Linked DNA regions of Anolis sagrei. The protein of the gene in region 3 interacts with the protein of the main gene of each other region in a pairwise test. Links are inferred from orthologs where the notes say so. Each region holds a gene or a part of one and is shown on either strand. Other genes may lie near its edges. The genes, in order: ARFIP2, HTATIP2, SH3GLB1 and SYP.

What was found.
Region 1: the proteins of SH3GLB1 (region 3) and ARFIP2 interact in binary tests that used the Homo sapiens proteins (3 or more experiments, as listed by UniProt). The link is inferred for Anolis sagrei from reciprocal best matches to the Homo sapiens genes SH3GLB1 and ARFIP2.
Region 2: the proteins of SH3GLB1 (region 3) and HTATIP2 interact in binary tests that used the Homo sapiens proteins (3 or more experiments, as listed by UniProt). The link is inferred for Anolis sagrei from reciprocal best matches to the Homo sapiens genes SH3GLB1 and HTATIP2.
Region 4: the proteins of SH3GLB1 (region 3) and SYP interact in binary tests that used the Homo sapiens proteins (3 or more experiments, as listed by UniProt). The link is inferred for Anolis sagrei from reciprocal best matches to the Homo sapiens genes SH3GLB1 and SYP.

Annotation. Positions count from the first base shown.
Region 1 is NC_090023.1:1,134,017-1,141,552, forward strand, and holds the start of ARFIP2 (arfaptin-2), read left to right. Parts: upstream 1-4,524; 5' UTR 4,525-4,735; coding exon 4,736-4,849; intron 4,850-4,986; exon of another isoform or gene 4,987-4,998; intron 4,999-6,768; exon of another isoform or gene 6,769-6,787; intron 6,788-7,536. Other genes in the region: DNHD1 (dynein heavy chain domain-containing protein 1), read right to left, coding at 1,824-1,848; TIMM10B (mitochondrial import inner membrane translocase subunit Tim10 B), read right to left, coding at 2,032-2,196, 2,302-2,397, 4,443-4,478. UniProt on the Homo sapiens protein: Plays a role in constitutive metalloproteinase (MMP) secretion from the trans Golgi network. May have important functions during vesicle biogenesis at certain cargo subdomains, which could be predominantly utilized by secreted MMPs, such as MMP7 and MMP2.
Region 2 is NC_090022.1:179,284,436-179,291,693, forward strand, and holds the start of HTATIP2 (oxidoreductase HTATIP2), read left to right. Parts: upstream 1-4,246; 5' UTR 4,247-4,332; intron 4,333-6,770; 5' UTR 6,771-6,800; coding exon 6,801-6,919; intron 6,920-7,258. UniProt on the Homo sapiens protein: Represses translation by preventing reactivation of elongation factor eEF1A. May also inhibit nuclear import by competing with nuclear import substrates for binding to a subset of nuclear transport receptors.
Region 3 is NC_090024.1:153,435,365-153,442,944, reverse strand, and holds the start of SH3GLB1 (endophilin-B1), read left to right. Parts: upstream 1-4,570; 5' UTR 4,571-4,777; coding exon 4,778-4,849; intron 4,850-7,580. UniProt on the Homo sapiens protein: May be required for normal outer mitochondrial membrane dynamics. Required for coatomer-mediated retrograde transport in certain cells. May recruit other proteins to membranes with high curvature. May promote membrane fusion.
Region 4 is NC_090022.1:175,468,103-175,475,950, forward strand, and holds the start of SYP (synaptophysin), read left to right. Parts: upstream 1-4,837; 5' UTR 4,838-4,931; coding exon 4,932-4,949; intron 4,950-7,848.

The DNA.
Region 1 (7,536 bases), on a different chromosome or scaffold from region 3:
AATACTTCATTTGTAAACCGCAGTCTCTCCCCATGGGGACTCAGATCTGTTCAACTGTGGAACTCTCTGCAGTGGAGTGGAGTCTCCTTCCAGAAGAGGGCTAGACGGAAGACTGACAGCAATCCAGTGAGAGCCTTCCTTTGACAACACAATAATAATAACAATACTATATTTCTAGACCGCCCTCTCTCTTTATAGGAACTCAGAGCTGTTCAGCAGTGGAACTCTCTGCAGTGGAGTGAATTGGAGTCTCCTTCTGGAAGAGGTCCAGACGGAAGACTCACAGCAACCCAGTGATTCCGGTCATGAGAGCCTTCCTTTGACAACACAATAATAATAACAACAATACTTTGTTTCTAGACCGCCCTCTCTCTTTATAGGGACTCAGAGCTGTTCAGAAGTGGAACTCTCTGCAGTGGATTGCCGTAAGTTTCATGAAAGCTTTCGACAACCAATAATAATAATAATAATAATCCTTCATTTGTAGACCGCCTTCTCTCCCCATAGGGACTGAAGAGCTGTTCAACTGTGGAACTCTCTGCAGTGGAGTTGATTGGAGTCTCCTTCCGGAAGAGGTCCAGACGGAAGACTCATAGCAACCCAGTGATTCCGGCCATGAGAGCCTTCCTTTGACAACACAATAATAATAACAATGTTTCTAGACCACCCTCTCTCTTTATAGGGACTCAGAGCTGTTCAACTGTGGAACTCTCTGAAGTGGAGTGGATTGGAGTCTCCTTCTGGACGAGATCCAGACGAAAGACTCACAGCAACCCAGTGATTCCGGCCATGAGAGCCTTCCTTTGACAACACAATAATAATGAAATACTTTATTTCTAGACCGCTCTCTCTCTTTATAGGGACTCAGAGCTGTTCAACTGTGGAACTCTATGCAGTGGAGTGGACTGGAGTCTCCTTCCGAAAGAGGACCAGACGGAAGACTCATAGCAACCCAGTGAGAGCCTTCCTTTGACAACACAATAATAATAATACTTTGTTTCTAGACCGCCCTCTTTATAGGGGCTCAGAGCTGTTCAACTGTGGAACTCTCTGCAGTGGAGTGTACTGGAGTCTCCTTCCGGAAGAGGACCAGACTGAAGACTCACAGCAACCTAGTGATTCCAGTCATGAAAGCTTTCGACAACCCAATAATAATAATAATACTTCATTTGTAAACCGCTGTCTCTCCCCATGGGGACTCAGAGTTGTTCAACTGTGGGACTCTCTGCAGTGGAGCGGACTAGAGTCTCCTTCCAGAAGAGGGCCAGACGGAAGACTCACAGCAACCCAGTGAGAGCCTTCCTTTGACAACACAATAATAATAACAATACATTGTTCCTAGACCGCCCTCTCTTTTATAGGGGCTCGGAACCGTTCAGCAGTGGAACTCTCTGCAGTGGATTGCCATAAGTTTTCCGGGGCTGTGTGTCCACGTTCCAGGAGCATTCTATGCATGTATGTCAGGCATCCTCAGAGGTGGAATGATGTCCAGGATGGTGGAAAGAAAATCTTCTCCCAGGCAGCAGGCAGCCAGATCTTGAAGTTGCAAGGCCATTAAACGCTAATCAAGCTGACCTCACAACCTCTGAGGATGCCTGCCATAGATGTGGGCAAAAGAAAATCTTCTCCCAGGCAGCAGGCAGCCAGACCTTGAAGTTGCAAGGCCATTAAACGCTAATCAAGCTGAATTCACTATCTCTGTGCATGTGGGCAAAACGTCAGGAGAGAGTGCTTCTGGAACACAGCCAGGAAAGCCTACAACGAGCCACTGCTGTACACAATGCCCTCTGCACATGCTCAGGGCCCCCCTGGCCTTGCTTTACCCTTCTCTGGCGCGGGAGACTCCATGGCTGCTGAGGAGGAGAGTGAGCGTTGCCAGGGGCGTTGCTAAGGAAGCCTAACGTCCCCCCTCCCGCCCTTCCGGAAGTCCGCTCTAGCCGTGCAGAGGATGTCCCTCCCCTTTGGGTGAGCTCAACCAATGAGGAGGCTTGGAGGAGGAAAAGGCGTTTGTATTTGAGTAAGGGCATTGCTTCAGTCCCCACTTCCGGGCGTGGGAGGCTCCTCCCCTTCCGGCTTGGCGGGCCCGCCCTCCTGCAGGCGGCGCTGGACCAAGACTGGCATGAGGCGCACGTAGGCCGAGATCAGGCGCTGATTGGAGCGGACCAGCTTCCCCGCGCAGCCCTCCAGGCACGCCTCCTGCCATAGAGAGAGAGGGAAAGAGAGGCACCGCTGGGATCAGAATGGCGGAAGAAGCCACAGGAAGTGGTTTTCCCCCGCACTTCCGGCGCCTTTTGCCCTCACCTCGCTCCCGTCTAGGCCTCGCTGGAGTAATCCCGGGACGCAGCGCCGGAAGCAGAGCTCCGTCATCCGGTTGTAGACCAGCAGGAAGTCCCGCAGCTGGAACAGGAAGGAGACAGATAAGACGTTTGGACTACAACTCCCACAATCCCCAAGTGTTAGGAAAGCAAGGCCTAGCTCAGGCCTTCCAGGCACTTTGGACTACAACTCCCACAATCCCCCAGTTTTGGGAAAGCTAATCCCTCTCTCAGAGCCCAGCTGGGCCCTCCAGGCGCTTTGGACTACAACTCCCACAATTCCCGACTGTTAGGAAAGCAAATTCCTCTCTCAGAGCCTAGCTAGGGCCCTCCAAGTGCTTTGGACTACAACTCCCACAATTCCTAAGTGTTAGGGAAGCAAAGATCTCTTTCAGAGCCGAGCTTGGGCGCTCCAGGCGCTTTGGACTACAACTCCCACAATCCCCAAGTGTTAGGGAAGCAAAGCCTAGCTTGGGCCCTCCAGGCGCTTTGGACTGCAACTCCCACAATCCCCAAGTGTTAGGAAAGCAAAGATCTCTTTCAGAGCCTGGCTTGGGCCCTCCAGGCGCTTTGGACTACAACTCCCACAATCCCCAAGTGTTAGGGAAGCAAAGCCTAGCTTGGGCCCTCCAGGCGCTTTGGACTGCAACTCCCACAATCCCCAAGTGTTAGGAAAGCAAAGATCTCTTTCAGAGCCTGGCTTGGGCCCTCCAGGCGCTTTGGACTACAACTCCCACAATTCCCAAGTGTTAGGGAAGCAAAGATCTCTTTCAGAGCCTAGCTCGGGCCCTCCAGGCGCTTTGGACTACAACTCCCACAATCCCCAAGTGTTAGGGAAGCAAAGCCTAGCTTGGGCCCTCCAGGCGCTTTGGACTACAACTCCCACAATTCCCAAGTGTTAGGGAAGCAAAGATCTCTTTCAGAGCCTAGCTTGGGCCCTCCAGGCGCTTTGGACTACAACTCCCACAATCCCCAAGTGTTAGGGAAGCAAAGCCTAGCTTGGCCCCTCCAGGCGCTTTGGACTACAACTCCCACAATCCCCAAGAGTTAGGGAAGCAAAGATCTTTTTCAGAGCCTAGCTTGGGCCCTCCAGGCGCTTTGGACTACAACTCCCACAATTCCCAAGTGTTAGGGAAGCAAAGATCTCTTTCAGAGCCTAGCTCGGGCCCTCCAGGCGCTTTGGACTACAACTCCCACAATCCCCAAGTGTTAGGGAAGCAAAGCCTAGCTTGGGCCCTCCAGGCGCTTTGGACTACAACTCCCACAATCCCCAAGAGTTAGGGAAGCAAAGATCTCTTTCAGAGCCTAGCTTGGGCCCTTCAGGCGCTTTGGACTACAACTCCCACAATCCCCAAGTGTTAGGGAAGCAAAGCCTAGCTTGGGCCCTCCAGGCGCTTTGGACTACAACTCCCACAATCCCCAAGAGTTAGGGAAGCAAAGATCTCTTTCAGAGCCTAGCTTGGGCCCTTCAGGCGCTTTGGACTACAACTCCCACAATGCCCAAGTGTTGGGGAAGCAAAGCCTAGCTAGGGCCCTCCAGGCGCTTTGGACTACAACTCCCACAATGCCCAAGCGTTAGGGAAGCAAGGCCTAGCTTGGGCCCTCCAGGCGCTTTGGACTACAACTCCCACAATCCCCAAGCGTTAGGAAAGCAAAGATCTCTTTCAGAGCCTAGCTTGGGCCCTCCAGGCGCTTTGGACTACAACTCCCACAATCCCTAAGCGTTAGGAAAGCAAAGATCTCTTTCAGAGCCTAGCTTGGCCCCTCCAGGCGCTTTGGACTACAACTCCCACAATCCCCAAGTGTTAGGAAAGCCAAGCCCTCTCTCAGAGCCTAGCTTGGGCCCTCTAAGCGCTTTGGACTACAACTCCCACAATTCCAGAGTGTTAGGAAAGCAAAGATCTCCTTCAGAGCCTAGCTTGGGCCCTCCAGGCGCTTTGGACTACAACTCCCACAATGCCCAAGCGTTAGGGAAGCAAGGCCTAGCTTGGGCCCTCCAGGCGCTTTGGACTACAACTCCCACAATTCCTAACAGCCGTCCCGGCTGTTAGGAATTGTGGGAGTTGTAGTCCAAAGCGCCTGGAGGGAAGGATGGGAAGCCCCGCCCCCTTGTTTGGGAAGACTCACGCTGCGCAGTTGCTGCTGCTGCTCGCTCTCCGCCATCCTGCGTCACTTCCGCTTTGCTTCCCCCTTGACTCCTTCCTTCCTTCCTCTCTCTCCCCCCGACCCTGGGGCCGCCGTGACGTCGCTTCCGGTCCTCCCGGGGGCCCAAGGCGGCGGAGGAGGAGGAGGAGGAAGGCGACGTGGCCCCAGTTCCGGGAGAGAGGGAGGGAAGGAAGAGGGAGGGGCCTAGAGCGCACCTGTGCACCTGGGAGGCAGGTACACAAGCTCACCTGTCCCCCTCCTGCTCCTCGTCCAGGATGACGGAGGGGCTGATGAGCAAGGCGGCCACCATGGAGGTCCCCATCCACGGCAACGGAGACTCCCGGCGGATGGGACCCTCCACCACCTCCGAGGATGATGGCCTCGAGCAGGTGCATTGAGGGAGGGGCTCACCTGGAGAGGGTGGGTGGGGGTGGGGTGGGGTAGCAGGGGAATTGAGGCAGGGGCTCACCTGGGGAGATTGGGTGGGTGAGGGGTGAGGTGGGGTGAGGGTCCCTCAGAAGATGATGGCCTCGAGCAGGTGAATTGAGGGAGGGGCTCACCTGGAGAGGTTAGGTGGGTGGGGAGTGGGGTAGCAGGGGAATGGAGGGAGGGGCTCACCTGGAGAGGTTGGGTTGGTAGGGGGTGGGGTAGCAGGTGAATTGAGGGGGGGACTTACCTGGGGAGATTGGGTGGGGGGGTGGGGGGCGGTCGAGCAGGTAAATTGAGGGAGGGGCTTACCTGGGAGGTTGGGTGGGTGGGATGGGGAGAGGTCAAGCAGGGACCCGTATTACTCGTAGTAATAATATTATTATTGGTGTTGTGGTGGTGCTTGAGTAGCAGGCAAAATGTCAGGAAGAAATGCTGCCAGGCCACAGCCCTACAACCTGGATAAGCACACAACTGAGGGAGGGGCTTACCTGGGAGGTTGGGTGTGGGGGGGGTGGGGAGGGGTCAAGCAGGGACCCGTATTACTCTCAGTAATAGTATTATTATTGGTGTTGTGGTGGTGCTCGAATAGCAGGTGAAATGTCAGGAGGAAATGCTGCCAGACCACAGCCCTTACCTGGGGAGATTGGATGGGGGCTGGGGGTGGGGGTGGGGGTGGGGAGGGGTCAAGCAGGGTCCCTTATTACCATTAATAGTATTATTATTATTGGTGTTGTGGTGGTGCTCAAATAACAGGCGAAATGTCAGGAGGAAATGCTGCCAGGCCACAGCCCTACAACCTGGATAAGCACACAATTGAGGGAGGGGCTTACCTGGGGAGATTGGGTGGGGGGTGGTGGGGGTCCCTCAGATGATGATGACCTCGAGCAGGTGAATTGAAGGAGGGGCTTACCTGGGGAGGTTGGGTGGGTGGGGGGTGGGGAGGGGTCAAGCAGGGACCCGTATGACTCGTAGTAATGATATTATTATTGGTGTTGTGGTGGTGCTCGAACAGCAGGTGAAATGTCAGGAGGAAATGCTGCCAGACCACAGCCCTACAACCTGGATAAGCACACAAGTGAGGGAGGGGCTTACCTGGGGAGATTGGGGGTGGGGAGGGGTCAAGCAGGGTCCCTTATTACTCATAGTCATAATATTATTATTGTAATATTATAATATTATAATATTATTATTGGTGTTGTGGTGGTGCTTGAATAGCAGGCGAAATGTCAGGAGGAAATGGTGCCAGACCACAGCCCTACAACCTGGATAAGCACACAAGAGAGCCGTCATTCCAGCCGTGAAAGCTTTCCACAATACATTATTATTATTATCATTATCATTATTATTATTATTAGAAACATAACAAGATGAGTCCACAGCAGACACTCTGCTGGCTGTTGCATTGGATCCCATGTCGGACACATTATTATTATTATTATTATTATTATTATTATTATTATTTGAAACACAACAAGATGAGTCCACAGCAGACACTCTGCTGGCTGTTGAATTATTATTATTATTATTATTATTACTGTTATTATTTGAAACACAACAAGATGAGTCCACATGTCAGACACTTCCCAAGTGCCTAGGACTATTATTATTATTATTATTATTATTATTATTATTATTATTAGAAACATAACAAGATGAGTCCACAGCAGACACTCTGCTGGCTGTTGAATTGGATTACACATTGGACACTTATTATTATTATTATTATTATTATTATTATTATTATTATTATTAGAAACACAACAGGATAACACTACAGCAGACAATCTGCTGGCTGTTGTACTGGGTCACACGATGGACACTTATTATTATTATTATTATTATTATTATTATTATTGGACACTTATTATTACCACTCAGAGGATAATGGCCTCGAGCAGGTGAATGGAGGGAGGGGCTTACCTGGGGAGATTGGGTGGGGGGTGGGGGTGGGGAGGGGTTAAGCAGGGACCCTTATTACTTTTAATAATATTATTATTATTATTGGTGTTGTGGTGGTGCTCGAATAGCAGGTGAAATGTCAGGAGGAAATGCAGCCAAACCACAGCCATAATTATTATTATTATTTTACTGACACAAAACCACAATATGTCACAGCAAACAAGATCTCTGTGCTAGGTTTCATATCACAAAATCATAAGTCGATCCCTTTCCTAAGTGTCTATTTATTTGTCGTTTCACGGCAAGCAAACTGCATTGAGTCGCCTTTTTGGGCTGAAAAATGCGGTATAGAAATAAAGCAAATAAATAAATAAAATAAATAAGCAGTCAATTATATTATATTTCTAACAGAACAAAGCAAACAAACAGACAAAACACAGAATTTGTGAGTTTGGTAGTTGGTTAAATGTCCTTTGAGCAGTCTCTGGCCACTTGGAGTGCCTCTGGTGTTACTATAAGAAGATCCTCCCTGGTGCATGTGGCAGGGGGTCAGTGGTTTGCTCTTCTCCGCACTCGCATGTCGAGGATTCCACTTTGTAGCCCCATTTCTGAAGGTTGGCTCTGCATCTCGTGGTGCCAGAGCACAGTCTGTTCAGCGCCCTCCAAGTCGCCCAGTCTTCCATGTGCCCAGGGGGGAGTCTCTCATTTGGTATCAGCCATTGGTTGAAGTTCTGGGTTTGAGCCTGCC
Region 2 (7,258 bases), on a different chromosome or scaffold from region 3:
GTCACATTGGTCTGTTTCCATTGCAGGAAGGACCACTTTACACATTGCTTCAGCAACAGGAATCCCATCATTACCAGAACAGTCAGGAATAACTCCAGTGATATGAAACATTGGTCAGAACAGACATTTCTTTACAAGTAAACTTGCTGACCTATAAACATTTGTCAACATTTGTCAACAGTAGTAGATGATAGATATAGGTTAAAGATGAGAAAGGACTTAATAAAGGGGAGTTATGAAACAGTTTGCCTACAGGAAAATGACTGAACAATTTAAGATTGATAAAAAAAACCCAGGTTGGAAACATTTAAATCAGAGTTTGTAAACTTACTGTGCCCAGCTGATGACTATGTTGTTGTTCATTCGTTCAGTCATTTCCGACTCTTCGTGACCTCATGGACCAGCCCACGCCAGAGCTCCCTGTCAGCCGTCACCACCCCCAACTCCTTCAAGGTCAATCCAGTCACTTCAAGGATCCCATCCATCCATCTTGCCCTTGGTCAGCCCCTCTTCCCTTTACCTTCCACTTTCCCCAGCATCATTGTCTTCTCTGGGCTTTGCTGTCTCCTCATGATGTGGCCAAAGTACTTCAACTTTGCCTCTTCTATCCTTCTCTCCAATGAGCAGTCGGGCTTTATTTCCTGGAGGATGGACTGGTTGGATCTTCTCACAGTCCAAGGCACTCTCAGAACTTTCCTCCAGCACCACAGCTCAAAAGCATCGATCTTCCTTCACTCAGCCTTCCCTAAGGTCCAGCTCTCACATCCGTAGGTTACTACAGGGAATACCATGGCTTTGACTAGGCGGATCTTTGTTGCCAGTCTGATGTCTCTACTCTTCACTATTTTATTGAGATTGGACATTGCTCTCCTCCCAAGAAGTAAGCGTCTTCTGATTTCCTGGCCACAGTCTGCATCTGCAGTAATCTTTGCACCTAGAAATACAAAGTCTGTCACGGCCTCCACATTTTCTCCCTCTATTTTCCAATTGTCAATCATTTTTGTTGCCATAATCTTGGTTTTTTATGTTTAACTGCAACCCAGCTTTTGCGCTTTCTTCTTTCACCTTGATTAGAAGGCTCCTCAGCTCCTCCTCGCTTTCGGCCATCAGAGTGGTGTCATCTGCATATCTGAGGTTGTTAATGTTTCTTCCAGCAATTTTCACCCCAGCTTTGCATTCATCCAGCCCCGCACATCGCATGATGTGTTCTGCATACAAGTTAAAAAGGTTGGGTGAGAGTCTGCAGCCTTGCCGTACGCCTTTCCCAATCTTGAACCAGTCTGTTGTTCCGTGGTCAGTTCTTACTGTTGCTACTTGGTCCTTGTACAGATCTTGATTAGCCACAAGAATATGCAGTGGGTTCTTGATTCAACTGAATATATTTCTAATTTCAACAAACGATATAAGGAATATACCAGCAGTGTGCTACACATTGCCTAGTTTCCAAAATGAGATGGGATCTGGTCCCTTTATAGCAGTGTTTCTCAACCTTCCTAATGGCGTGACCCCTTAATACAGTTCCTTATGTTGTGGTGTCCCCCAACCATACCATTGTTTTCATTGCTACTTCATAACTGTAGTTTTGCTACTGTTATGAATCGTAATGTAAATATAGGATAAGCAGGATGTATTTTCATTCACTGGACCAAACTGGGCACAAATATCCGATAAGCTCAAATCTGAATACTAGTGGGGTTGGGGAGGGGGGTGATTTTGTCATTTGGGAGTTGTAGTTACTGGGATTTATAGTTCACCTACAATCAAAAGCATTCTAAATCTCCAACAATGATGGAATAGAACCAAAAGTGGCACACAGCACTCCCATGACCAACAGAAAATACAGGAAGGGTTTGATGGGCACTGACCTTGAGTTTGGGAGTTGTAGTTCACCTACATCCAAAGAGTAGTGTAGATTCAAACAATGATGGATCTGGGCCAAATTTGGGATGGATACTCAAGATGGCCAAATGTGAATTCTGGTGGAGTTTGTGGAAAATAGACCTGGACATTTGGGAGTTGTAGTTGCTGGGAGTTATAGTTCACCTACAATTAAAGAGCATTCTGAACCCCACCAACCAGAGACCCCCATGACCAACAGAGAATACTGTTTTCTGATGGTCTTTGGTGACCCCTAAGCCACCTCCTCATGACCACCCAAGGGGTCCCGACCCCCAGGTTGAGAAACACTGCTTTATAGGATATTGGGGCCCTTATGGGTACCATGTAGATCTATATGTGTGTCTAACTTACTTACTTACTTACTTAAGCGATCCCTCGTAGTCCGAGGATGATGGTCCTCCAAGTGTAGTATCCTAAATCCAGACAAGACAGAGGTAATCCTGGTCAGTTGTAAGTCCGAAAAGGGCATAGGGTTACAGCCCATGCTTGACGGGGTTACACTCCCCCTGAAGGCGCAGGTTTGCAGCTTGGGACTGATCCTGGACTCATCGTTGAGCCTGGAACCCCAGGTCTCAGTGGTGGCCGGGAGAGCTTTTGCACAGTTAAAACTTGTGTGCCAGCTGCGCCCGTACCTTGGGAAGTCTGACTTGGCCATGGTGGTCCACACTCTGGTTACATTCCGTATAGATTACTGCAACGCTCTCTATGTGGGGTTGCCCCTGAAGATTGCCCGGAAGCTGCAATTAGTCCCGCGCTCGGCAGCCAGGCTACTGATGGGAGCTGGGTACAGGGAGCGCACAACTCTGTTGCGCCAGCTCCACTGGCTGCCAATTAGCTTCTGAATGTTATAAGTGTATTATTTTAACTTACTATGTGGAGTGTGATCAAGTCTTGTCAGGCCTTGTTGTTCTGTTTCTTATTGTGATATGGCCTAAGGGCTAATCAATACAATTACTACTACTAGCTTCCGAGTACAATTCAAAGTGCTGGTTTTAACCTATAAATCCCTATACGGTTCCGGCCCAGTTTACCTGTCCGAACGTATTTATTTATTTATTTAGAGGTTTTCTATTCCGGCCTTCTCAACCTCGACGAGGGACTCAGGTCGGTTTACAGCATATATAAAGTACAATCATATAAAAACCACAGGTATTAAAATAGTACAACACAGTACAATAAAAACATCATTATCATTACATCATTACATCATTACAGTTTCCTACACCAAATCGTCAATCCAGTCAGTCATAGTCATGTTCGTGGTCACAGTTCATCATAATTCATCATAGGGAAGGTTCTAGGTTCAGTCCTCGAATGCCACATTCCAGAGCCAGGTTTTTAGTGATTTCCTGAACGTCAGGAGGGAGGGGGCAGATCTAACCTCTAGTGGGAGGGAGTTCCAAAGCCAGGGAGCCACCACCGAGAAGGCCCTGTCTCTCATCCCCACCAACCGTGACTGTGAGGGTGGTGGGACCGAGAGGAGGGCCTCCCCCGGAAGATCTTAATAGCCTCGGTGGTTCATAGGGGAGAATCCGTTCGGAAAGGTAAACTGGGCCAGAGCCGTTTAGGGCTTTATAGGTCAAAACCAGCACTTTGAATTGTGCCCGGAAGCTGATCGACAGCCAGTGGAGCTGGCGTAACAGAGGGGTCGTATTCTCCCCTATGAACCATCAAGGACGTTAAGATCTCCCACCATCTTCGCAAGTGCATTTGGTGGGGACGAGAGACAGGGCCTTCTTTGTGGTGGCCCCTCGGCTATGGAACTCTCTCCTGAGCGAGATCAGATCTGCCCCCTCCCTCTCGTCCTTCAGGAGGCTAGTGAAATCCTGGTTATGGAATGAAGCATTCCCAGAATAATGTCTGAGACTGGTTACAGACCAAAGTGAGTGACCACATATGCGGACTGAGTTGAACATGATTTTACCTTGGTGATTTGGTATATATGTATTTTAATCTTGTATTGTTGTATTATGTTTTAACTTGTATTAGTAGCATTGAATTCTTGCTGTAAACCGGTCTGAGTCCCTCTACAGAGGTGAGAAAATCGGGATATAAAAGTTTTCAATAAATAATAAATAAATACCCTGGCTCTATGTGTGTATTCAGTTTACTCTTATGGTAACTCCATAAATTTCATAGTTTTCTTAAGCAAAAGAACACTGTGAGATGACTTTGCAAGTTCTTTCTTTGCAATGCGGGGGCAGAATACAAAGAGATGGAAAAAAAACAACAATATACTGTTGCAGTTTCCTCCCAGGCTCGCCCTTCATTGCAACATAATTTTAATCTCTGGATCACTGCTGAGCAAACCTCCCTCCTGCAAAGGAAAACAAAGTTCTGCAATCTGCGCCTGCGCAGTGAGTCCAGGCAGGCACACCCGGAAGAAGAGTGGGCGACTCTTTCTTGGTAGGAGACTCTCCACTGTTGTTGCAGGTGAGGCTTTCCTTCCTCTCCCCCCTTTACTCCAGGGGGATCTGCAGTTTCCCTTTCTCCTCCTGCTTGCCTACTCCTTTAATTAATGCTTCCCCATCCCTGAGTGCATCTACACTGTAGAATTAATGCAGTTTGACTCCCCTTTAACTGTCATGGATCAAGGCCATGGAATTTGTAGTTTGATGAGGCATCAGCTTTCTCAGGCAGAGAAGGATCAAGACCTTGCAGAACTACCACTCCCAGGATTCCATAGCATTAAGACATGGCAATTAAAGTGGGGTCAAATTGCATAATAATGCATTAATGGAATTTGTAGTTTGGTGAGGCATCAGCCTTCTCAGGCAGAGGAGGGACAAGACCTTGCAGAACTACCACTCCCAGGATTCCATGGCATTGAGGCATGGCAGTTAAAGTGAGTTCAAATTGCATAATATTGCATTAATGGAATTTGTAGTTTGGTGAGGCACCAGCCTTCTTAGGCAGAGAAGGGTTGAGACCTTGCAGAACTACCACTCCCAAGATTCCATAGCATTAAGACATGGCAATTAAAGTGGGGTCAAATTGCATAATATTGCATTAATGGAATTTGTAGTTTGGTGAGGCACCAGCCTTCTTAGGCAGAGAAGGGTCAAGACCTTGTAGAACTACCACTCCCAAGATTCCATAGCATTAAGACATGGCAATTAAAGTGGTTAAATTGCATTAATTCTACATATTTAATTAATTCTATTATTTTTAATTAATTCATAATACTAATATTGTGCTATGCTAATAATATAATATGTTGTATGTACATATCATATTGATCATAATATTGTAATACAATATAATAATACTACTAATAAAAATATAATATTGTACCTATTGATCTACTCACATTTGCATGTTTTCGAACTGCTAGGTTGGCAGAAATAGGACAATATAGTAATATAGTACTATATAATACTAATATTGGGCTCTGCTGATAATATAATACATTGTACACACATATAATATTGATAATATTATAATGTAATACAATATAATACTCCTCATCGTTGTATCAGGAGCAACCGCTCCTGTTGTGAGAGAATTGGCCGTCTGCAAGGACGTTGCCCAGGGGACGTCTGGATGATTTTTGATGTTTTATCATCCTTGTGGGAGGCTTCTCTCATGTCCCCGCATGAGGAGCTGGAGCTGATAGAAGGAGCTCATCCGCCTCTCCCCGGATTCGAACCTGCGACCTGTCGGTCTTCAGTCCTGCCGGCACAGTGCTTTAACCCACAGTGCAATAACCCACTTATTATTACATGTAATATTACTAATAATATTGTGGTATAGTGGTATAGTACAATATAGTAATATATAATACTAATATTGTGCTGTGCTGATAATAAAATATATTATATACACATATAATATTGATAATGTTATAATGTAATACAATATAATAATAATAAGAATACAATGTAATAATTATATATTTCATATTACATGTAATATTACATGGTATAGTACAATAGAGTAATGTATAATACTAATATTGTGCTGTTCTAATAATATAATATATTGTATACACATATAATATTATAATGTAATACAATATAATAATACTACTAATAAAATATAATAATTATATATTTCATATTACATGTAATATTACATGGTATAGTACAATAGAGTAATGTATAATACTAATATTGTGCTGTTCTAATATATTGTATACACATATAATATTACAATGTAATACAATATAATACTAAAAATAATACAATATAATAATTATATATTTCATATTACATGTAATATTACTAATAACATTGCAGTATAGTGGTATAGTACAATATAGTAATATATAATACCAATATTGTGCTGTTCTAATAATGTTCTAATAATATAATATATTGTATACACATAGAATATTATAATGTAACACAACATAATACTAATAATAATTCAATGTAATAACTATATATTTCATATTGCATGTAATATTACTAATAATATTGCAGTATAGTGGTATAGTACAATATAGTAATATATAATACTAATATTGTGCTATGCTAATAATATTATATATTGTAAGTACATATAACTTGTAAGCTGCTCTGAGTCCCTTTCGGGGTGAGAAAGGTGAGATATAAATGTTGTAAGTAAATAAATAAATAATGCAGTGTAGATGTGTCCAAGCAAGGTTTGAAACAACTGGGGCTGATTGTGATAGTTGCCTCTATGAGGTTAGTGGTCTCTCCTATTGAACAGAAGGGAGTGAGCAGGCTATCCTATATTTTCCTTTGTGGTTACATTGAACAATTAGTCCAGAACTTCATGGATACCAAAATCCATGGAGGCTCAAGTCCCATTGTGTTCAAAAGCATAGTAAAAGGGTAGATTGTCCCTTGTTTAAAGTGGGAAGATCAAAGATTGCTTTTAGGGATTTATTTTATTTTATTTTCAAGGTGGAATCCGTGGATGCAGAATCCGTGGATATGGAGGGCCGGCTGTACAATCTAAGCAAAGCCTTGAAAGGCGTCCTGCGGCTGGGAGGACCTCTGGAAAGGGCTGTGCATGGCCAATCATGTCTACAGTATCCAGCAGTATTCCTTAGGTGCCTTGGAAATGTAGAATAGCCCAGTTCAGACTGTTTCCAATTGCCCAGTAAGGAAGCACCATAGAAATGAATGGTGCCTGGATATGAATAAACATGCCTAGGGTCACAATTTTAGCCTAACACAGGACGCATGTCCACATCTACTCTGAAGTATATTGAACTCCCACTAGGTCCATCAAAGGCGCATCTGCATTGTGCAATGACTACAGCTTGACGCCTCTTTAACTGCCATGTGCTATGGAATCCCGGGAGTTGTAGTTTGATGAAACACCAACACTGTGGCAGGCTAATGACCTTGTAAAATTGCAGCTCCCATAATATTGAGCTATGACAGTT
Region 3 (7,580 bases):
TATTATTATTATTATTATTTCTTACCCACCTCTCCCCATGGCTCGAGGTGGGTCACAGCACAGTTAAAAACACAAAAATACTATAAGAATTCTACAAACACACATTAAAATTCAGTTCCATAAAAGATACAGATCAAAGCATTTCTGTAAAATACACATTTATCACACAGGACAGAGACCAAAACACATGACATGAGTTTAAAACTCATGCTTAAAGACTGTTTGGGTAGACCTGATGGAAGGGATAGGTATTTACATGGTTTTTAATTTTCGACATCTGATCTAGCTGTCGGACCTCTATCGGAAGGTCGTTCCACCATTGGGGTGGCCGATAAAAAGTCCTCTGGGTGATGGTTGCTAGTCGGGTTCTGGCTGTTTGGAACAGATGCTCCCCAGAGGACCTCATTGTGTGGGGCGGATTGTACAAAACAAGGCGATCCTGTAGGTAACCTGGACCCAAACCATGTAGGGCTTTAAAGATCAAAACCAACACCTTGTACTTTGTCCAGAAACTAACCTTCTGGACTGGTCAAAGTAGTTAATGTGGATTATCTGTTTTGTTAATCTGGATTATATGGCAGTGTAGAAGGCTACTTAATCAAGGAATACACAAAAGTAGTTTTGCCAGGTCCTTCCCCTGAAATATAACCTGTGCATTCATAATGGTGGCCTTCTATCCAAGCACTAATCAGGGATGCATCTACATTGCAGAATTAGTGTAACTTGACACTAGTTTATCTCCCATGCTCAATGCTATGGAATCGTGGGACTTGCAGATTTAAAAGATTTTAGCCTTCTCTGCAAATAGTGCTGATACCTCCCCAAACTACACCTCCCATAATTACATAGCATTGAGCCATGGCAGTTAAAGTGGATTCAAGCTGCATTAATTCTGCAATGTAGCTGCACACCAAGATAGACTCTGTTTACTTCCAAGATCTGTCATGATCTCATGCCATTAGGGTATTCAGGCTCTTGGAATAAACAGTAACTGTGAAATTAGTGCCCTTATAAACTGTGAAGGTATGTTCATATGACCACCGTGCATGACGCTTCAAATATAAAATTGCTCAATGGCTTTAATTCAGAATGGATTTTTTTCATGTCAGGAGTGACTAGAGAATGGATGCATTAAAGTGATGCCTTAGCCAACTCTAATTGTTTGGATTATTTTCAGTTGTTGCTGCCTAAGGATACTGAAATGGTTCTTGCAAAATTCCTGTAACCACCTGGTTTCTGAACATTGCCCAATATCACTATTGCATCATGCCAAGAGAGACCACCTGAACTGAGGACTGGTTGAGAAGGAAAGATTAATCCAGAAAAATAAGTTTGTGGAAACTGTACAACATTTTGAGGTTTTGTTGTTGCTGAAAATTCATTGCCACAAGTGAGAAAAGGGTGTAAGAGTGGTCCACTTCTTTCGCCGGGGGGTGGGGGGGGGGGTGTTAATCCGGTAAACACAACAGTGGAATTTGAGATAGCTATTGTTGATTTTGACTTTTTCATTATTTGAGTTCCACTAGAATTATAATAACATTTATTCAACAAAAGTTACAGTGCACTGATTTGTAATCTATCCATCAGTGTGGCCTTACTGGAATAAAAATGGCCCACCATTATTTTTATTACTTCATTCCTAAATACCCACTGGTATACAAAATTGCTACATTGGTTCTGATGTACTTATGAAACACTCTGGCGGTGACTATTGAGAAATATTTATCCTCAGAGCCCTCAAACATTTACAGTGCAGCTCATTGCACCACTAAGAATGAACATTAACATCCTGACAAGGAATGAACAAGATGTGTCATATGCCTCAAAGGTCTGCAATAAGCCAATGTTGGAGTAGGGCAAAGAAATGGAGCACTCATCCAACAGAAATTCCTTAGTCATTCTGACAGTGTGTGCATATCCGTCACAAAAAGCCCTGAAACCACACAGGATACTGAATGTTGTCTACCTGGTACTTAAAGGTAAAGGTTTTCCCCTGACATTAAGTCTAATCGTGTCCAACTCTGGGAGTTGGTGCGCATCTCAATTACTAAGCCAAAAAGCCAGTGTTGTCCATAGACACCTCCAGGGCTATGTGGCCAGCATGGCTGCATGGTACATACTAAGACCTGGTACTTATTGGTAAATATAACAATAGGACTGTTCGTCAACCAAAACTTGATACAGCAATAATTTTTGGCAGAAAACAACAGAAATCCTTTTATCAATTTATTTGAGTATAAGGCCCATTGAATTCACAAGGATTTATAGAGTATATGGAATGTTCATCTGTTCCTTCACACTGGGCATTAAAAAGTTAAATTACTACTGGTCATGGTACTCTGAACCCTAGAAGGGCTGATACAGAGACACAAACATTTTACAATTAAACTATTGATTGTTATAGTGCAGAAGATGTCTGTTTTGACATTATAGTTGTTTCATGAACTAGTAGAGCTGCAATATGAATCAGAGTGTGCATTTACCACAAGCATCTTTGATACTTGCAGGGCAGTAGAACAACATCTGCCACTCACTCCATTTCCTGAAATCTTTTGCAATTATGATATAGCATGAGACCCTTGCAACGGATTAGAGGAGGCCTAGAACCCCACAAAATGAAGGTGGAGATAACAGTCCCTGCTCAGACCCACCTCACTGCTCATTCGGGCAGCAACAGAAATCAGCAAGAGTGGCCCTTCTCTCAGGCCCAAGAAGGTTTGATGGAAACAGGAGAAAGGGCCTTCTCAGTGGCTGCCAAAGAGTATGCACCTCCCTTCCCATAGCTGTATATTCATTAAGTCACTTTGAACGACAATTTTGAGAGTAAGGTGGAATAGTTATGTTCATATTTGTAAGAAGAGTTTCAACTCCTGCTTGAAAAAAAGCCACACTGCTCCTCAAAGTCCTTGCTTTCTAAAATGAAACCCATCAACTGTTTTGAAGCAGTGAGCAATTAGCCATTTGTTCGTAGATGGCCACTGGTTCTATAGAAGTTTCAGAACTGGAGATCCCTGATGATCCTAAAACTAGGTAGTATGACAGCAACTCCTATGCCAATCTCTTCACCTGGAAAATAATCCTGGCACCCAAACCAAAATCCCACATTCAAGAGCATACAGGAAGCACTAACTTGAATGAACTCTAGTCTGAAAAGATGCTGTTTTTGTTGTTGTGTAATGAAAGGCATTGACCAAGGCATTGACATTTCCGACTCATCCTCTGTTTGGATATCAGCCAGCAAGCCAACGTATTGGATGAAGAAATGGCTTCCTATGATATACAGAGATACTCGCAGGAACACCTCAGCAAGTGAGAGTCCAAAGGTGGCAGGCTATAACCCAGAACAGTGGCTGAGACCAGATGAGAGACTCCCTCCACTGATGACTGAGAGACTTGGAAGGCGCTGAACAGACTGCTTTCTGGCACCACGAGATGCAGAGCAAAGCTTCAGAAATGGGGCTACAAAGTGGAGTCCATGACACGCGAGTGTGGAGAAAAGCAAACCACAGACCACCTATTACAATGCAACCTGAGCCCATGCACAATGGAAGGCCTTCTTATAGCAACACCAGAGGCACTCCAAGTGGCCAGCTTCTGGTCAAAGAACATTTAGTATAATGGCAAATCTTTAAGTATAATGTCTAGTATGGAATACATCACACCAAAAAAGTGGCTGTAGTTCTTAATGAGACATGCCGCATTATCACAGGATGTCTATGCCCTACACCACTGGATAAATTAAATAGTTTAGCCAGCATCGCACCACCTGACATCCACCAGGAAGTAGCTGCCAGCAATGAAAGGACCAAGAGACATCTTTAGCCCATCCTTTGTTCGGATACCAGCCAGCACACCAACGCCTTAATCAAGAAACAGCTTCCTAAAATCTACAAAGATACTCGCAGGAACACTTTTGGGCTCTCAGCAAGCAAGAGTCCAAAAGTGGCAGGCTAAAACTGGGAACCCCAATCAGTGGCTGAGACTGCTCAAATTGCTTCTGACATTGTGTGCCTTGAAGTCATCACTGATCCTGGGATTTTCTTCATGGACTAAGGCCCCTTTTCCACATCCACACAGCTGAATAAAACCCCACATTATCTGCTTTGAAATGGAATATATGGCAGTGAGGTCTCAGATCACCCAGTTCAAAGCAGAGCTTGTGGGGTTTTCTGCGTTGATATTCTGGGTTATTATATGGCTGTGTGAAAGGGCCCAAATCCATATATTCCAGTTGAAAGCAGAAAATGTGGGCAGTGGGAACTCAACTCAGATCACCCAGCTCAAAGCAGGCCTTGTGAGATTTTCGGCCTTGATATTCTGAGTTCTATGGCTGTGAGTTCTACTATAAGGCCCTGAGTGGGGATTCGAACCCGTATCTAGTCGTGTCTCCCAGCGCTGAAGTCTCGGGCAACGCCCTCCCAGAGTACAGCGCATCGGGGTTTGCGCCCAGCGCGGCTGCCTCTTCCTTCCTCTTGTGCCCGCCCACCAGCCAGTTCCGCCCAATCAGCGGCCGCTTTCGGGGCCTGCCCTTCCTCTCTCTTGTGCCCGCCCACCCGCCGGCTCCACCCAATCAGCGGCGGCGTCAGAGCGCCCGGCCGGGCCCGGCAGCGCCCGACGCCACCCTTTTGGCCACAGCTTTGGCCGGCCGCTTCTGAGGGGGTGGGGAGGGGGAAGGAAGCGAGGTGGCGGCAGGCGGGCGCCGCCGCCTAAGAAGAAGAAGGAGGAGGAGGAGGAGGAGGCGGCAACAACACCCCCATTCCTGGATGAGCGAAGGAAAATGAACATTATGGACTTCAATGTGAAGAAGCTGGCGGCCGACGCCGGCACCTTCCTCAGCCGCGCTGTGCAGGTAGGCCTGACAGCTCTCCTCCACAGCCAGCCTGCCTGCCTGCCTGCTGAGGGGCGTTGGCCGGGCCGTTGCTGGGCGCGCGGCCCTTGTTTGGCTCGTGCGCGCGCGCGCGCCCTTTGGCAGACAAACACGGCGCGCGCGAGGGAGGGGGCGGCCATTTCTTGAGGGAGGGTCTCGAGGCAGGCGTCTCACCAGGCCCGGATGTGGCCCTTTCCCCTCCCCCCCCCCCCTCGGAGTTCTTCGGGGACTTTATGAGGCTCAGCTGTCCTCTCTTGCCCCCCCCCCCCCCGCCCTGGGCCTTTTAAGAGGCGGCCAGCCGTCTGCCCTGGCGGCGGAGAGTTGGACTGACCTGGTCGCAGCTGTTCTCCAGGCCTCCCGTGTCCCTAAGGGCTTAGGCCAGACTTGGCTTGCCGCCCCTCCTTCATACTTGCCTTATCTGTATAGGGACACACCATTTTGTAAAGAGTCCTAAGGTGGGCCCTGTTTAGCATTTTCTTCGCTTGCTAAATATGCAGATTTTCCTTTTACGTGATCATAGAATTATAGAATTGGAAGAGACCCCAAGGGTCATCCAGTCCAACCCCTTGCTGTGCAGAAACACAATCAGAATACTCCCAACAGATGGTCATTCAGCCTCTGCTTAAACAGCTCCAGAGAAGGAGACTCCACCATGCTTCTAGGCAGCAAATAATAATAATAATAATAATAATAATTCAGACTGAGTTTTGGAGCACAATACTCCTGACCTCACAATCGTGTTAAAAAACAAAGTATGGATGGTCAATGTTGCAATCCCAGGCAACAGCAGGATTGAAGAGAAACAACTGGAAAAGCTGACACGATATGAGGATTTAAAGATTGAAATGCAAAGACTCTGGCACAAGCCAGTCAAGGTGGTCCCAGTTGTGATCAGCACACTGGATGCAGTGCCTAAAGACCTTGGTCTGCACTTAAACACAATTGGTGCTGACAAGATTATCATCTGCCAGCTGCAGAAGGCCACTTTACTGGAATCCTCACGCATTATTCTCTGATACATCACACAGTCCTAGACACTTGGGAAGTGTCCAACATGTGATCCAATACAACAGCCAGCAGAGTGTCTGCTGTGGACTCAACTTGTTGTGTTTCAAATAATAATAATAATAATAATAATAATAATAATAAGGGCCTGAGTGGGGATTCGAACCCGTGTTGTGTCTCTGAGTCCAATACCCAAACCACTACACCACGTAAGGGTAATAATAAGATTAAAGACCTTGGTCTGCACTTAAACACAATTGGTGCTGACAAAATTACCACCTGTCAGCTGCAAAAGGCCACCCTAGTGGGATCTGCATGCATTATTTGCTGATACATCATACAGTCCTAGACACTTGGGAAGTGTCTGACGTGTGATCCAATACAACAGCCAGCAGAGTGACTTTGTTTGCTGTGTATTAATCTTTTTGTATTTCAAATAATAATAATAAAAATAACAGCTTCATTTTTATACTCTCTGCCCCAGAGTGTGGTGGAGGCTCCTTCTTTGGAAGCTTTTAAACAGAGGCTGGATGGCCATCTGTCAGGGGTGATTTGAATGCAACATTCCTGCTTCTTGGCAGAATGGGGTTGGACTGGATGGCCCATGAGGTCTCTTCCAACTCTTTGATTCTATGATTCTATACCTCCGCCTCCATGTCCCCAAAGGGACTCAGAGCAGCTTACATGGGACCAAGCCCAACAGAACAGTTAAAACATAACACATTAAATAGTATATAAAATGAACATCAAACCAACAACCAACAGCAAAGTTCAGAGTCTTGTCATGGGTGGGCGGACTGGTGCCACAACATTAGAAAATAGAGCTAATGAGTAAAGTGCAAATATCATGTAGCAGCAATGAGAATAAGAACGATTTACTATTAAGGATTTGGATATAACACATTGCACTGTCAGACAGCTCTTACCATCATGAAATTCTTCTTAATGTTTAGGTGGAATCATGTTTCTTTCCATTTGAATCCATTAGTCCGTGTCCTAGGCAACAGAAACATGCTTGCCCCCTCCCCAGGCCCCTTTCACACAGCTGAATAAAATACACATTGTCTGCTTTGAACTTGGATATATGGCAGCGTGGACTCAGATAGACCAGGGCTCTTCCACACAGCCCTATATCCCAGAATATCAAGGCAGGAACTCCCATAATATCTGCTTTGAATTGGTTTATCTGAGTCCACGCTGCCATACGTCCCAGTTCAAAGCAGATATTGTGGAATTTTCTGCTTTGATATTCTGGGTTATATGGCTGTGTGGAAGGGCCCTCAGTATGACCTCCTTTTACATATTTAAACCTGGCTCTCATGTCCCCTCACAGCCTTCTTTTCTCCAAGCTAAACATACACAGCTCTCTCCTGGCTTCCAGACCTTTGACCATTTTGGTCGCTCTTCTCTGGACACATTCCAGCTTGTCAATAGCCTTCATGAATTGTGGTGCCCAGAACTAGATACTTGTCATTCCAGGTGAGATCTAAGCTGAGCAGAATATAGTGGGTCTAAGACTTCTTTCAATCCCATGTGCCTTCAAGCCATTTCAGACCTATCACTGGGGTTTTCTTGGAAGGACTTATAAAATTATTTACAGACAGTACACATACCGCACATATCACATACAATACAATGTATAAGACAACCCTCTTGCTCACATCCTACACAAAGTTGGCCCCAATTCCACTCACCTGTGCACCCACCA
Region 4 (7,848 bases), on a different chromosome or scaffold from region 3:
ATATATATATATATATATATATATATATATATATATATATATATATATGCTTTGTGCATAATGAGTACCTTAAAAACAAAAGAACCAATGAACGAAATCACACCAAATTTGGCAACAAAACGTCTCACAAAACAAGGAGTGACCATCACTCAAAAAATTATGATTTTGTCATTTGGGAGTTGTAGTTGCTGGGATTTATAGTTCACCTATAATCAAAAAGCATTCTGAACTCCACCAACTATGGAATTGAACCAAACTTGACACACAGAATTCCCATGACCAACAGAAAATATTGGGTTTTGGTGGGCATTGACTTTGAGTTTTGGAGTTGTAGTACTCTTAGCTGTCTTTTTCTCCATTTTATAGCTCCTCTCCCTTTTGTTTTGCCTTCAAAAAGGAATGGTTTTACCCCTTGCTCTCCTCTCTGTGTTGTTTCCCTTTTGTTAAATGTTAGACTGGAAGTGTCCTGGAGGCCAGAGAGCTTTTTCATTGCTCTCATGACCCAAAGCCTCAGGCACACTCAGATGGAGTTATATACAGCTGGCCCTCCCTATCCACGGATTCCTCATCCAATAATTCAACCATCCAGAGCTTGGAATATATTTTTAAAAAAGAATTCCAAAAGAGAAATACTAATTTTATTTGTATTGTCGAAGGGTTTCATGGCCGGAATCACTCGGTTCTTGTGGGTTTTTTTCGGGCTATAGGGCCATGTTCTAGAGGCATTTCTCCTGACGTTTCGCCTGCATCTATGGCAAGCATCCTCAGAGGTAGTGAGATCTGTCCTAATTCCAACAGACCTCACTACCTCTGAGGATGCTTGCCACAGATGCAGGCGAAACGTCAGGAGAAATGCCTCTAGAACATGGCCCTATAGCCCGAAAAAACCCACAAGAACCGACTAATTTTATTTATTTATTTATTTATTTGCTATATTTGTATACCACCCTTCTCAGCCCTCAGGAGACTCAGGGTGGTTTATAGAGGCAACAATTCGATGTCCAAGAACATCATAAAATATTTCAAACACTAATACATAGTTCCAAGCTCCTATGTTTTTTTCATTGCATTTTCAAATGCTTACTCAAACAGCCAAGTCTTGACTCTTTCCCAGAATGTTAAGAGGGAGGGGGCCAATCTAATGTCCCTAGGAAGGGCGTTCCATAGCTGAGGGGCCACCAAATGGCTGATACCAAATGAGAGACTCCCCCCTGGGCACACAGAAAACTGGGCTACTTGGAAGGCGCTGAACAGACTGCGCTCTGGCACCACGAGATGCAGAGCCAACCTTAGGAAATGGGGCTACAAAGTGGAATCCACGACATGCGAGTGTGGAGAAGAGAAAATTACAGACCACCTACTACAATGCAACCTGAGCCCTGCTACATGCACCATGGAGGACCTTCTTATAGTAACACCAGAGGTACTCCAAGTGGCCAGCTACCGGTCAAAGGACATTTAATCAACTACCAAGCTAGCAAACTTTGTGTTTTGTCTGTCTGTCTGTCTGTTTGTTTGTTTGTTTTGTTAAAAATGTAATACAACTGTCTGGTTTCTCCTGACACGATAAATAGTTATTGTGTCAGGGCAACCAGTCAATTATATTACATTTCTAACATAACAAAGCAAACAAACAGACAAAATACAAAATTTGTGAGCTTGGTTGTTGATTAAATGTCCTTTGACCAGTATCTGGCCACTTGGAGTGCCTCTGGTATTGCTGCAAGAAGGTCCTCCATTGTGCATGTGGCAGGGCTCAGGTTGCGTTGCAGTAGGTGGTCTGTGGTTTGCTCTTCTCCACACTTGCATGTCGAGGATTCCACTTTGTAGCCCCATTTCTTAAGGTTGGCTCTGCATCTCGTGGTGCCAGAGCGCAGTCTGTTCAGCGCCTTCCAAGTCGCCCAGTCCTCTTTGTGCCCAGGGGGGAGTCTCTCATTTGGTATCAGCCATTGGTTGAGGTTCTGGGTTTGAGCCTGCCACTTTTGGACTCTCGCTTGCTGAGGTGTTCCAGCGAGTGTCTCTGTAGATCTTAGAAAACTATTTCTTGATTTAAGTCGTTGACATGCTGGCTGATACCCAAACAAGGGATGGGCTGGAGATGTCGCTGCCTTGGTCCTTTCACTATTGGCTGCTACTTCCCGGCGGATGTCAGGTGGTGCGATACCGTTTAAGCAGTGTGATTTCTCCAGTGGTGTAGGGCGCAGACACCCCGTGATAATGCGGCATGTCTCATTAAGAGCCACATCCACTGTTTTAGTGTGGTGAGATGTGTTCCACACTGGGCATGCATACTCAGCAGCAGAGCAGCACAGCGCAAGGGCAGTTGTCTTCACTGTGTCTGGTTGTGATCCCTAGGTTTCGTATGATGTTGTTTGTAGCACCCACTTTTTGCTTGATGTTTTGGCTGATGAGATGGTATTGTTATTGTTGTTGTGTGCTTTCAAGTTGTTTCAGACTTAGGTTGACCCTGAGCGAGAACCGGGTAAATTACATTGGAGGGCCGTATTCGGCCCTGGGCCTTAGTTTGAGGACCCCTCCTCTAGACCATGGCCATATAGCCTGAAAAAACCTACAACAACCCAATTATTGTTATTAATTATTAGGTTCTTGTAGGTTTTTTCGGGCTATAGGGCGATGTTCTAGGAGCATTTCTCCTGACGTTTCGCCTGCATCTATGGCAAGCATCCTCAGAGGTAGTGAGGTCTGTTGGAAATAGGAAAATGGGTTTATATATCTGTGGAATGACTGGGGTGGGGCAAAGAGCTCTCTGCTGAAGCTAGGTGTGAATGTTTCAGCTGAACCCTTCATTAGCATTTGAAGACCTGGCTGATCCTGGGAAAATGTTCTGTTGAGAGGTGTTAAGATGTGCCTGGTTGTTTCCTCTCTGCTGTTTAGCTGTAGTAATTTTAGAGTTTTTTAATACTGGTAGCCAGATTTTGTTCATTTTCATGGTTTCCTCCTTTCTGTTGAAATTGTCCACATGCTTGTGGATTTCAATGGCTTCTCTGTGTAGTCTGACATGGTGGTTGTGAGAGTGGTCCAGCATTTCTGTGTTCTCAAACAATATGCTGTGTCCAGGTTGGTTCATCAGGTGCTCTGCTATGGCTGACTTCTCTGGTTGCAGTAGTCTGCAGTGCCTTTCATGTTCCTTGATGCGTGTCTGGGCAATGCTGCGTTTGGTGGTCCCTATGTAGACTTGTCCACAGCTGCATGGTATACGGTAGACTCCTGCCATGAAAGCCTTTGACACTACATTATTAATTATTGTAGTTGTTGTTCATTCGTTCAGTCGTCTCCGACTCTTCGTGACTTCATGGACCAGTCCACGCCAGAGCTCCCTGTCTGCGTCACCACCCCCAGTTCCTTCAAGGTCAGTCCAGTCACTTCAAGGATGCCATCCATCCATCTTGCCCTTGGTCGGCCCCTCTTCCTTTTGCCTTCCACTTTCCCCAGCATAATTGTCTTCTCTAGGCTTTGCTGTCTCCTCATGATGTGGCCAAAGTACTTCAACTTTGTCTCTAGTATCCTTCCCTCCAGTGAGCAGTCGGGCTTTGTTTCCTGGAGGATGGACTGGTTGGATCTTCTCGCGGTCCAAGGCACTCTCAGAACTTTCCTCCAACACCACAGCTCAAAAGCATCGATCTTCCTTCGCTCAGCCTTCCCTAAGGTCCAGCTCTCACATCCGTAGGTGACTACAGCGAATACCATGGCTTTGATTAGGCGGATCTTTGTTGCCAGTCTGATGTCTCTACTCTTTACTATTTTATCGAGACTGGACATTGCTCTCCTCCCAAGAAGTAAGCGTCTTCTGATTTCCTGGTCACAGTCTGCATCGGCAGTAATCTTTGCACCTAGAAATACAAAGCCAGTCACGGCCTCCACGTTTTCTCCCTCTATTTCCCAGTTGTCAATCATTCTTGTTGCCATAATCTTGGTTTTTGTGATGTTTAGCTGCAACCCGGCTTTTGCGCTTTCTTCTTTCTCCTTGATTAGAAGGCTCCTCAGCTCCTCCTCGCTTTCGGCCATCAGAGTGGCCGAAACTTATTATTATTAATTATTACCCGGCTTACCTCTCCGAACGCATCTCCACCTATGAACCGATGAGGATGTTAAGATCGTCCGGGGAGGCCCTGCTCTTGGTCCCGCCTGCATCGCAGGCGCGACTGGCGGGGACGAGGGACAGGGCCTTCTCGGTGGTGGCCCCTCAGCTATGGAATGCCCTACCCGTAGACATCAGGCAGGCCCCTTCGTTGCTGGAGTTCCGGAGGAAGGTCAAGACGTGGCTCTATGAACAGGCGTTTGGTCAACATGGCAATTGAACTCATGAAGACGGTATAAATGAACAAGGAATGGTAGAAGGATTACGAGAACGGAATCTGATTTTTACTGAGGCGTTGATGACTATGTTGTGTTGTTGTGTTGTTTGTATTGTCCGCTGTGTATACTGTGTTTTTAACTAATTGTATTGTAATAAACTGCATTGTAAACCGCATTGAGTCGCCGAATTAGGCTGAAAAATGCAGTATAAAAATAAAGCAAATAAATAAATAAATAAATTATTAATTATTATTATTATTATTACAGTTATTTTGGCATAGTAAAATGGCACCCCTCATATGGCCCAATGAGAGGGTGCTTTTAGAAATTCTGTGAGTTTGATTCCTTCAGCCTTGCCAATGCCCCCAACCAAGCCAAGCCTCCATTTCCCATCCCTGCGCCCATGAAGAACATGGCTCCTGTTTGGCTTCAGTGACGTCACCCCTGAGCTCTTCCAGCATCCCCCCTCCACTGTTTCCCTCTCTCTCTCTTCCCCCCTCCTCCTCCCTTGGCCCCGCCCTCCGAGGCTGTTCCAGATAAAGGGCTCCTCCTCCCGCCGGTCCCAACCTCCCCTGCGCTCTGCTGCGTCGCCCTCGCTTTTTCCCCAAGCAAAGATGGAAGTCGTCAATCAGGTAAGCGGCGGAGGGTTTCAGCACCAGGGACAGCTCCCCAAGGCGCCTTGCTTGCGGATGGGGGGGGGGGGGGAGAATGGAGGGAGTGTTGCGGAAATCCCACTTCACCTTCATCCTTTGCCCCCCCCTTTCCCATAAACCCCCACTATCCTCCTCCTCCCTGCAATAATAATCCCTGCAGAGATTTATCCTGAGAGCAGAACAATGCCTCCCTCTGCTTCTCCTTGTGGGGAGGGGGGGGGGGTCAGATCTAGGGAAGGATCTGCAGCCAAGCAAAGGCATTCTGTTCTCTTATGACATTGCTGCAGTAGGCATTGGGGGGGGGGGATTAGGAAGAGGGGTGCCTTGGATACAGAGCAAATAAATAAAAGAGATGGAGCTGGATTTTCTTCCCCATCCTTCCTTTGGAAATGATGATTTGAAAGAGGAATCTTATTTACTAAATATGGGGGGGTTTGAGCTGGAATATTTTGCCGCAGATGGGTTGGAAGAAGCCAAAATGGCTGGGGCGATGCAGTAAAGCTACGCCACGGCTGGCCCGCATTTGGGGAGCCAAAGGAGGAGGGACTGACTGACAGCCTGACTGGGATGCCCATGTAAACAGATGGGCACAGGGCGGGCAATGATATCCCTGCCCTGAGGCTAGTCAATAATACCCCCAGGCAGGTAGAAAATGCCGTATGGAGAAGAGCAGAGGGATCTGTAGTATGCAAGATGGATTCGTCATCATAATGCTAGCTGGGGACTGGGGAAGAAGAGGACTCAACATCGTAATTAATTCTGGAAGGCGAGGATGGAAGGATCTGAATCTAAGCTGCTCGTCGCAACCAAACTCATCACCATCCTTGTTGTTGAAGACATTGTGTCCTTGTATTGTCGAAGGTTTTCATGGCTGGAATCAATAGGTTCTTGTGGGTTTTTTGGGGCTATAAGGCTATGTTCTAGAGGCATTTTCTCCTGACGTTTCGCCTGCATCTATGGCAAGCATCCTCAGAGGTAGTGAGGCTGCTTGCCATAGATGCAGGTGAAACGTCAGGAGAAAATGCCTCTAGAACATAGCCTTATAGCCCCAAAAAACCCCACAAGAACCCATTGTGTCCTTACTGTTATGAGTGTGGCAGGGGATTCCCATCCAGGCATTTTCTCCTGACATTTCGCCTGCATCTATGGCAAGCATCCTCAGAGGTAGTGAGGATGCTTGCCATAGATGCAGGCGAAACGTCAGGAGAAAATGCCTCTAGAACATGGCCATATAGCCCAAAAAAACCCACAAGAACCCATTGTGTCCTTACTGTTATGAGTGTGGCAGGGGCTTCCCATCCAGGCATTTTCTCCTGACGTTTCACCTGCATCTATGGCAAGCATCCTCAGAGGTAGTGAGGATGCTTACCATAGATGCAGGCGAAACGTCAGGAGAAAATGCCTCTAGAACATGGCCATATAGCCCAAAAAAACCCACAAGAAGCCATTGTGTCCTTACTGTTATGAGTGTGGCAGGGGCTTCCCATCCATGTCTCAATATGGAGGGTAGAGGCACCAGATGGTGGGAGAAGGCATCAATATGGCCACAGAGGAACTTCAAGGCAAACGAAGGGATGGTGTCAGGCTTGCTTCAATGTTGTTTTGATAATAACTCTCCATAAACAAACAAACAAAGCCAAGGAAGGGATGGAGTAGAGTGGTGACATGCCATATCGGCATTGGGAGGCAAGCAAGGATGATGATGATGAGAAGGAGGAGAAGGAGGAGGAGATGATGCCTCAGGGGCGTCTTCTTGTCTCTGATCCCTGGAGCAATTGCAGCAGGATGCATTGCGGGAAGGAAGCAAAAAAAAGGGGGGGAGGGATTTATGGGGTGTCGCTGTGGAAGGTGGGGGTTGCTCCTCACTCCCGAAAGCAGCTGGCCTGGAGGAGGAGGAGGTGGTGGCGCAATGTCGTGTAATTTTAGCACAGAAGATGGAGCAAATGTTCCAGGAAGGTGGAAGAAAGTCCAGATGGAGCCTTCGGAAAGCACAGAGTTGGATGCGGAGGATTGTGTGCCGGCCTTGGTGTGCCTCAGAGGAAATAGAGCCTCTGAAGAGGCCTGGAGTGACCTGAGGGCCATGAGTAAAGAGATTTAATCAGGATTTGCAAGGGAGAGAACGTCCAGAAATCTATAGAGTTGTCGCAAGTGCTCTAAGATCTATATCAAGCACCACTTGGAAGGGAAAAGGTTTGGATCCTGGGGTTGTGAAACATTTGAAGAAATGCTACGGGATTTCATTGGATTAATGTATTGTCGAAGGCTTTCATGGCTGGAATCAATAGGTTCTTGTGGGTTTTTTCGGGCTATATGACCATGTTCTAGAGGTATTTTCTCCTGACGTTTCACCTGCATCTATGGCAAGCATCCTCAGAGGTAGTCTGGAGAAACGTCAGGAGAAAATGCTTCTAGAACATGGCCATATAGCCCGAAAAAACCCACAAGAAGCTATTTCATTGGATTGTCTTTTTTCTCCCCATAACTCAGTCTTTAGGAGGTTTGCTAAGAAATAAGCCCTCTTTCCAGATTTTCCTCTGTAGAATTGCAGCTTCCCCTCTCTCTCCCTTTAGAAATTTTGAGAAATAACAGGATAAGGAATGGATCTGATGTGAAATTATCTTTGGGCAGTGAATGATATAGGAGCCCCCGTGGCGCAGTGGGTTAAATAAACCCCTATGCCAGCAGGAGCGAAGACCGACAGGTCGCAGGTTCGAATCCGGGGAGAGCGTGGATGAGCTCCCTCTGTCAGCTCCAGCTACTCATGCAGGAACATGTGAGAAGCCTCCCACAAGGATGGTAAAACATCAAAACATCCGGGCGTCCCCTGGGGAACGTCCTTGCAGACGGCCAATTCTCTCACACCAGATGCAACTTGCAG